2 linked regions of the Nothobranchius furzeri genome follow. The protein of the gene in region 2 purifies or fractionates together with the protein of the main gene of each other region. This does not show direct contact. Links are inferred from orthologs where the notes say so. Each region holds a gene or a part of one and is shown on either strand. Other genes may lie near its edges.

What was found.
Region 1: the proteins of cfap20 (region 2) and clasrp purify together in Homo sapiens (affinity purification with mass spectrometry; 3 studies listed by BioGRID and IntAct, counting the BioPlex papers as one, with this or other methods). This does not show direct contact. The link is inferred for Nothobranchius furzeri from reciprocal best matches to the Homo sapiens genes CFAP20 and CLASRP.

The regions. Positions count from the first base shown.
Region 1 is NC_091753.1:42,038,456-42,042,799, reverse strand, and holds the start of clasrp (CLK4-associating serine/arginine rich protein), read left to right. Parts: upstream 1-1,397; 5' UTR 1,398-1,549; intron 1,550-4,344. UniProt on the Homo sapiens protein: Probably functions as an alternative splicing regulator. May regulate the mRNA splicing of genes such as CLK1. May act by regulating members of the CLK kinase family.
Region 2 is NC_091759.1:5,022,885-5,027,285, forward strand, and holds the start of cfap20 (cilia- and flagella-associated protein 20), read right to left. Parts: upstream 2,902-4,401; 5' UTR 2,821-2,901; coding exon 2,737-2,820; intron 2,561-2,736; coding exon 2,481-2,560; intron 1-2,480. UniProt on the Homo sapiens protein: Cilium- and flagellum-specific protein that plays a role in axonemal structure organization and motility. Microtubule inner protein (MIP) part of the dynein-decorated doublet microtubules (DMTs) in cilia axoneme, which is required for motile cilia beating.

The sequences.
Region 1 (4,344 bases), on a different chromosome or scaffold from region 2:
GTCAAGTAAGGATCAAACAAGTGAAAACAGTGACATGAGGATATCATGGGATATACATGTATTTTTATTTATTTATTTGTCTCTGAGACATCCCAGTACTTCTGATTAACTTAAGCTTATCGTACATTTTAAATATTGTGCTTATTGTAAATTTTCCAGTCAGCTCTGCACAAGTGCTGCTTGGATTATAAGAGAATGTGTGTGAAAACAAAAAGTGAGAGTCGGCAACAGCAGAGACGTTTAATTTTCAAATGAATGTGGCAAATATGACCTTTGTCCCCAGAAAACAGAGGCAGACTAGAAACTAACACAGGCTTCCTGTCACCGTGCTGGACAGGAGGAAATGTAGGAAACAGAGTTTAAGCACACATGTATGTACAGATATGGTGAGTGCTAAATGCTCTTCTTACCTGCTGTGTACCACAGGAAGTCAGAACCCAGCCTGTAGATTAGAAGGTTTGCATTAGGTCAAGAGGTGCCTCTGAGTCCAAAATCCTTTTAGTATCATTTTAACCTTTTTTATTCCAGCTGTTGTAAGTGATGTATTTAGAGCTTCCTATGTTCACGTAATGAAGCTTATAAGTTATATTTGTATGTGTCAATATTTAAAACAGACAGAAGCTTAAAACTGCTCCATTTGCTGTTTTACTCTCTCCACACCCTGTTTTTGGTCTGATGGCAGATTCATCAGCTGTCTTACAGAGACATCTAGTGGCCACGACAACATATGGCACTCTCGGTGAAGCTTTGATCTTTGTTACAAAACGTTATTGTACAAAGATCATCAACAGCTCTGTTCATACATCTTAAAAACAAGTGAGTACATACATTAAAAGTAATATATCAAAACATGTGAACAAAATATCATGTTGCAGGTATGTGGACATAGATTCTATTCATATTGCACAGAATATTGTGATGATATGAGGGTTTGAAGTGTTACATCATTCAAATTCCGATGGTTTGAATGTTGACTGTGTTCATTTTTATAACCAAAACCTTTAAAGCGAAAATAAGCCTAAAAATGATCTGAATAATAACTTTAATCATGATCATGAGACAGAAAACACATAAAAATAGCCCATATATAGCCCCATTATAAGTTTATTGTTTTTTTTATGGGTCTGAATAATTTAGCGATTATTTTCAAGTCTGGAGTAAACTTGTTAACAACTAATGTCATTTGAATTATTACCGTATTACTAGTAAACTGGAAGTTATTTATCAGTGCTTGTGTAGTACTAGCATTTATACTCATACAATTAGTTAGCTTTCTCAGTTTAATATGGTGCACTGATCTCCACATAAGGCATTATTTATCTAACGCATCTTTTATTTTATATGTATATTTAAGTTAAACACTTTGCAGATTCATAGTTTTGTGTTTATCTACAGCGCCCCCGGTGGTCGTTGCTGGTACTGCGTATCTGCACACGGGGGAAAAGAGAGAGAGAGGGAAAGCGACAAGGAGGCGTGAGTTCGCTACGCTGCAACGTTAGCTCTTTGCTGACGAAACCCCGTTTATTTGTGTTGGTGGACAATAAAACAGGTACGAATAGAAATGCATTTGCTTTTTACAGTTGTCTGTGATATTTCGTTCGCGTGGCCAGGCCGTGAGTCACTGTGGTCCTGGCGTTTGTGCAGAGTGGATTAGCAGAGCTAGCGTTGATGCTAACGGGCCTGTATGCGCAATGAGCCTGGAGCCATGTGTTGGTTAATAAATGCCACGCACACTTTATAAACTACCATATTTAACATTATATAAGGCCGATAGTTGTACAGTTATTCCACAAATCAGACATTTGAATGATTAACTAGAAGTAGCTTGACAACGTAGATATTGGGTAATTAGCTATCATGCTAGCTCCTGAATGCCATTTGCATTTGCTAAACGACTTACATAATTTCACTTATTCAAATGTTATTAACTATGTATGCAGCTGTGGGATTAAGGTTATAATTAACAGGACATTTTTTGGAAACAAACTTCGTTTAGAAAAACAGCTACAGCTTAAAACAACCGTCTGCAAAGATAAATCAGAGCTGTCAGCTGCTGGTACTAGTGACTAGTTCTGCATATTTAATAGATTTATTATTTTTGAACAGTGTTTGATAATTGAGCCTCGTTCTTAAATCGTTTAAACACGTGGAAAGATCCAAGTACATTGTAGATAACACAAGTAACACATTTGTTTATTAGTTCTTCATGTTTTTGTTCTTAAATACCGTTTTGTGTCCTAGTCTCAGATCTGACCTGCAAACTCAAATTGGCTCTAGAATATGAAGAATCCTGGAAGAGAAAAAGTTATTCTAGAAAGCAGAAATGTAATTTTTTTTTATTACAAACCTACAAGAAACAGCATTTTTATATCCAATAAATGTTTGTTTTCTGTCAGTGCGTTCTAAAATGTTTATTAGAAATACTAAAAATGTTATTTTTCTCAGCAGTTTATAATTTGATCATTATCTGCATTAAAACTAGGGATGCACTGATTTGAAAATGTGGGGTGATATCGATATCCGATATTATCACTGTTATACCCGATAACCAATATTTATTGATATTACATTAATATAAGAAGGAATGTAAGGAACTATCAATACATTGAAATTTTGTGTAATGATACTGAATCAATATTTAAAAGTAGTGTATCAAATTTTTATTGAGAATTTTCAATGAAACTTATACTATAGCTCATTTGTGTGGTGCTAGTCAAACCCCAACTGCTAGGTGGCAGCAGTTTTTACCGCCTTCACTCTGACAGAGCAACAAAATCTTGCAATAACAGTTGACACACTTGGAGGCATCTAGTCTGAGTTTTTCAGTTAAGTTCAGTCAATAAATGACAAGTATTCATTTCAGGGCAGCAGTAGCTCAGGAGGTAGAGCGGGTTGCCTCATGATCGGAGGGTCAGCTCTTGCAGGGGTATTCTGCTGTTGTGTCCTTGGGCAAGACACTTCACCCAACTTGCCTGTGTTGGTGGTGGTCGGAGGGGCAGACGGCGCCAAATGGAAGCCTCGCCTCTGTCAGACCTCCCCAGGGTGGCTGTGGCTACAAAGTAGCTTACCATCATTGGCAGTGTGTGAATGTGAGAGTGCATGCAAGCATCTTTGAGTGTCCTAAACAAGCGCTATATAAGTTTGATGTATTATTATTATTATTATTTGGCATTTGATATTTAAAGATATTGTATTGTAATATAATATGTTATTATTATTATAAACCAGGGATCAAAGTTCTCCGTCGTGGCGACGGAAATCCGTCAGTTGGAATAATCAGAAAAAAGTTCTGTCAAAGTCTTCTCGTGCTCACTTGGGTTTTGTAGTGTCGCTCTCTCTCTCTCTCTCTAGCGCTCTCCTCTTGCTAATTGAAACGCACACCGGTGTTGTTGAAACGCGTTTCTCCACCGTTCTGCGCTGCCTAAGCTGCAAAAACGCGCACGCTCATTGCTCGCTCCCTCGGTGCGCACAAACACAAACTGCACTCGCACCAGGCGCTGGGATTCTAACAGAGCCAACATGATGAGCAGAACCAGGACCCAAATTCCCGGTGGGCCGATCTGTGGTCTGTGTTTTTAGTCGTCTTTGTTTTTTCGGGCCTGTGTTCAGTCATGACACTCTGCTGATCACCTGCTGATGAGAGGATTTCTCTTGTCAGTGGAACAGGCGAGCTGCTGAACAAGCGTTAGTTCCTAGAAACACTTTCTATGCCCAGACTGTAGTGACCTGTTTTTATAATTTTATAATTAATATTAAGTGAATGCACTAAACCCACAAATGATAGAAGATAAGATTAAATATTATTAATCATATTACTATCAAATGTAAATAAGTATAACAGATAACTATTTCATTTCTAAGGTTTGGATGTCTGTGAACATTACAGAATATTCAGACTGGTGTAAAGAACATATTATTAATAACAGGTCATGATCTAAAGCTGGTCTGAGGTATAAAACTCTGCCCTGGGCCTAAAGCCCTGCAACTCACACGTTCAACATGGAGCTTTGCCAGCTGATTGGTTCTTCTGGTGTGCAGTTCTGGTACTGAGCAGCATGATGCATCAGCGGATTTCACTGTAGTCTGTGTTCATAATGGATTTAGAAAGAACAGGAAAACATTGTTAACTCAAATATATCATTATAATGAACATGTATAGACACTTTATCATACATACCTAACAGCCTGTAACTCTACTTTTCCCCCAAAAATGCACCAGACTGATGCGTTTAAATATAAAATGTCCAATAATTTTTTTTTCCGGGGGGGGGGGGGGGGGGGGGGGGGGCGTGCCGCAGGACTCCCCTAGAGTACTTTAATACTTGTCATCTTTTTTACCTCGGA
Region 2 (4,401 bases):
TGGCAACTGCCACCACTACTAAACTGGAGAAAGGACCCGAACGCACCAATTGTTTAAATGATTTGAGTTTGTTTTATATTTGAAGTTCAATAAACATTAGATTTATTGACTTAATTCATTTATATTGCACACAGTGAGTGTTCAGTTGTCTTTCACAATCGATGTGCTGCTAAAACATACACACACACACATATATATACACACACACATATATATATATATATATATATATATATATATATATATATATATATACAGGTGCTGGCCAGTAAATTAGAATATCATCAAAAGGTTGAAAATATTTCAGTAATTCCATTCAAAACGTGAAACTTGTACATTATATTCATGCAATGCACACAGACCAATGTATTTCCAATGTTCATTACATTTAAATTTGATATTCATAAGTGACAACTAATGAAAACTCCAAATTTGGTATCTCAAAAAATTAGAATATTCTGAAAAGGCTGAATATAGAAGACACCTGCTGCCACTCTAATCAGCTGATTTACTCAAAACACCTGCAAAGGCCTTTAAAAGGTCCCTCAGTCTTGTTTTGAAGGCACCACAATCATGGGGAAGACTTCTGACTTAACAGCTGTCCAAAAGACAATCATTGACACCTTGCACAAGGAGGGCAAGACACAAAAGGTGATTGCTAAAGAAGCTGGCTGTTCGCAGAGCTCTGTGTCCAAGCACATTAACAGACAGGCGAAGGGACGGAAAAAATGTGGTAGAAAAAAGTGTACAAGCTCTAGGGATAACCGCACCCTGCAGAGAATTGTGACGACAAACCCATTCAAAAATGTGGGGGAGATCCACAAAGAGTGGACTGCAGCTGGAGTCAGCGCTTCAAGAACCACCACGAGGAGACTCATGACAGACATGGGATTCAGGTGTCGCATTCCGTGTGTCAAGCCACTCTTGAACAAGAAACAGCGCAAGAAGCGTCTCGCCTGGGCCAAGGACAAAAAGGACTGGACTGATGCTGAGTGGTCCAAAGTTATGTTTTCTGATGAAAGCAAGTTCTGCATTTCCTTTGGAAATCAAGGACCCAGAGTCTGGAGGAAGAGCGGAGAAGCACAGAATCCACGTTGCATGAGGTCCAGTGTAAAGTTTCCACCGTCAGTGATGGTGTGGGGTGCCATGTCATCCGCCGGTGTTGGCCCACTCTGTTTCCTGAGGTCCAGGGTCAATGCAGCCGTCTACCAGGAAGTTTTAGAGCACTTCATGCTTCCTGCTGCTGACCAACTTTATGGGGATGCAGACTTCACCTTTCAACAGGACTTGGCACCTGCACACAGTGCCAAAACCACCAGCACCTGGTTCAAGGACCATGGTATCCCTGTCCTTGATTGGCCCGCAAACTCGCCTGACCTTAACCCCATAGAAAATCTATGGGGTATTGTGAAGCGGAGGATGCAATACGCTAGACCCAACAATGCAGAGGAGCTGAAGACTACTATCAGAGCAACCTGGGCTCTCATAACACCTGAGCAGTGCCACAGACTGATCGAGTCCATGCCACGCCGCATTACTGCAGTTATTGAGGCAAAAGGAGCCCCGACTAAGTATTGAGTGCTATACATGCACATTCTTTTCATGTTCATTCTTTTCAGTTGGCCAACATTAGAGAAACAAACATTTTTTCATTGGCCTTTAGAATATTCTAATTTTCTGAGATACCAGATTTGATGTTTTCATTGGTTGTCACCTATAAATATCAAAATTAAACGTAATAAACATCGGAAATACATTGGTCTGTGTGCATTGCATGAATATAATGTACAAGTTTCACGTTTTGAATGGAATTACTGAAATATTTTCAACCTTTTGATGATATTCTAATTTACTGGCCAGCACCTGTGTGTGTGTATATATATATATATATATATATATATAATTAATATCTGCCTTAATAATCGGCCATCTGCAACAAAATTCTTTAGAAATCGGTATCGGCGTTTAAAAAACCATATCGATAGGCCTATAAAATAAACACGCTTTAGTGGTCCCTCAAGTCACAAATGGCGGCCAGCTGGTCTAAAGTTGCATTTGTGACATTCTGGCCACAGGAGTCGGTGGGGTCTGAGTGACTTTTTATTAACCCTGTAAAGGGTCATTTTAGCACATACTGGATCAAGAAAATAATTAAAATATGAACAAGTTGCAAAGTATCCTTTTAATAAATGGAGGGAACTGATTTGATAGGCTCAGATTTGACCCCTGATGAACTTCCTACCAAAAATAAATGAATAAAAACGCTAAGATGGATCAATAACTGGGGGAAAATAACCTGTGTTCTTTAAATCCCAACTAACATCCCAGACTTCGTCAAAGTTGGCACTTTGAATACACGCCAAAGCTAAATATAAACAGCTGCACTAAATAAATTAATCAAGTGTACATTTAACCTACTGATGTCCTCTCTGAGGACAACAAACATCTGAGGTGAACAGAGCCAATCCGGGATCACACACCTCACGTTTGCTCCTTCGATTTCCAACACATAGGAGTGTATGTCGTTATCAGTCACCCTCTTTATGTGGCCATTCCTGACCTGTGGATGTAAAAAATCATCACAGAACCAAATATTTCAAACTGAATTTGGGGGAAAACTGAGCGTAACAGCTGAGCCGAGCGCTAAAAATGCACACACAACGGCTGTTAGCTTAAACACGAGCGGCTAACTAGCTACTCCTGATGTCACATTTGTGACTCTACATCGATTTTTACCTTCTTGTCCCATATTTGAAGCGGTTTGCTGCCGATACTATAAAGGATGGACAGAAATCCACTTTGAAATGTGTTCTTGAACATGTCGAGCTCGCGAACTCTCCGTTCAAAAGTGTGTTTCCGGTGTTCCCTGATTTTCTGATTCCGATTGAAACTAAATAAACAGTTCCGCTGCCTAAAATTAAAACACAACTGCTTGTTTTAAAACTCAATTAATATCAGATTGACTATCCAAGAAAATGAAATTCCCTCTATCGAGCTAAAGAGAAAGCCAGCAACAGTCAGCTTTTTAATGTTTTGATGTCGCTTGGAAACCAGAGTTTTCATAAACAAATGGTGCCTCCTGGCGGTAAAAATGGACAGGTGCAGCGTTCCGGTCAAACAACTTAATTTATTTTAGTTTGTTTTGTTGGTTTGAAGTAGAAAATTTTAGCAACAAAATCACGAATAATAATAATATTAATATTAATAATATAATAATAATTTCCTAACAACTTAAACCCACATACAATGCTTTTAAGTGACACGGGACTCAAAGATTTCTGTTTTAAACTACATAAAACTATGACATCAGTGGCTTTCTACAGCTTCACAAAGTTGTCAGGCTAAAAAAATTAAATGATAGAAATATAAATTTTTAACATGATTACTATATTGTTGTAACAAATTAATTTTCACGTTCTACAATATACATATGTATCATGTTTGTACAACATAATTCTTAGTAAAAATTAAGTAATATTGAACAAAGGATCAGCACCGGCCACAGATCAGCGCCAGAAGATTCTGGATGACAAACGAAGACGAGCCATACACAGTAAGTTGACATGTACATAAATACATGTGGTAATTGAAAAAGTAGCTTGAGATTTTGCTTGAGTTGACAATTTTATCTAATTCAGTATTAGCACTTTTAGCTCAACGTTAGCTGCTAGCCTTCTTTACCTGATATTAGAGTAAAACAAAAGAAATGCTGTGTCCTCTTAAGCCTGGGAAATGCGTGCTTTTTAACAATGCGTATGCATGTTTTGTTTGCATCGCGTAACTTGCATTGATTTGAACAGTCGTTTGTGCGCATCCTCCAAAATTAATGTGATGTGTGTGCACGCTGCAATATTGGAGCAACCAGTAGCCCGAGTTGACAAAATGAGCGAGACACCCTCTCCAGTCACTGGTTCAGAGGTCTTTCACACAGTCTACAATACAGCTGTTGTCTTTTTTCATCTCAAAATGAATTAAAATGAGCAAACTGATCTCTTCTATTGAAGCCATGTTTGTTTTGGTTGTTCCGACCCGCATTGTGGGGCCTAGAATTGAACCCTGAGGCACACCACATGTGATGCTGTGGACCCCAGAGGAACAGCTATCCAAACTCACCATAAAAGTCCTGTCTGTGAGGTAGGAAGTGAACCAACTGTGAACAACACCAGAGAGGCCGATCTGTTTTAAACGGGTTAAAAGAATAGTGTGGTCTACTGTATCAACGGCGCGCTTAGATCCTGCAGAACCAACACTGTTGCCCTCTGGGCATCATAAATTGTTCTAATCTTCAGAAGGGCCGTCTCAGTGCTGTGGTTCACCCTAAAACCAGACTAAAATTTCTCTAGGACATGTTGGCGGTTGATAAAATCATTAAGTTGTATTAAAACAAGCTTCTCTAAAAAA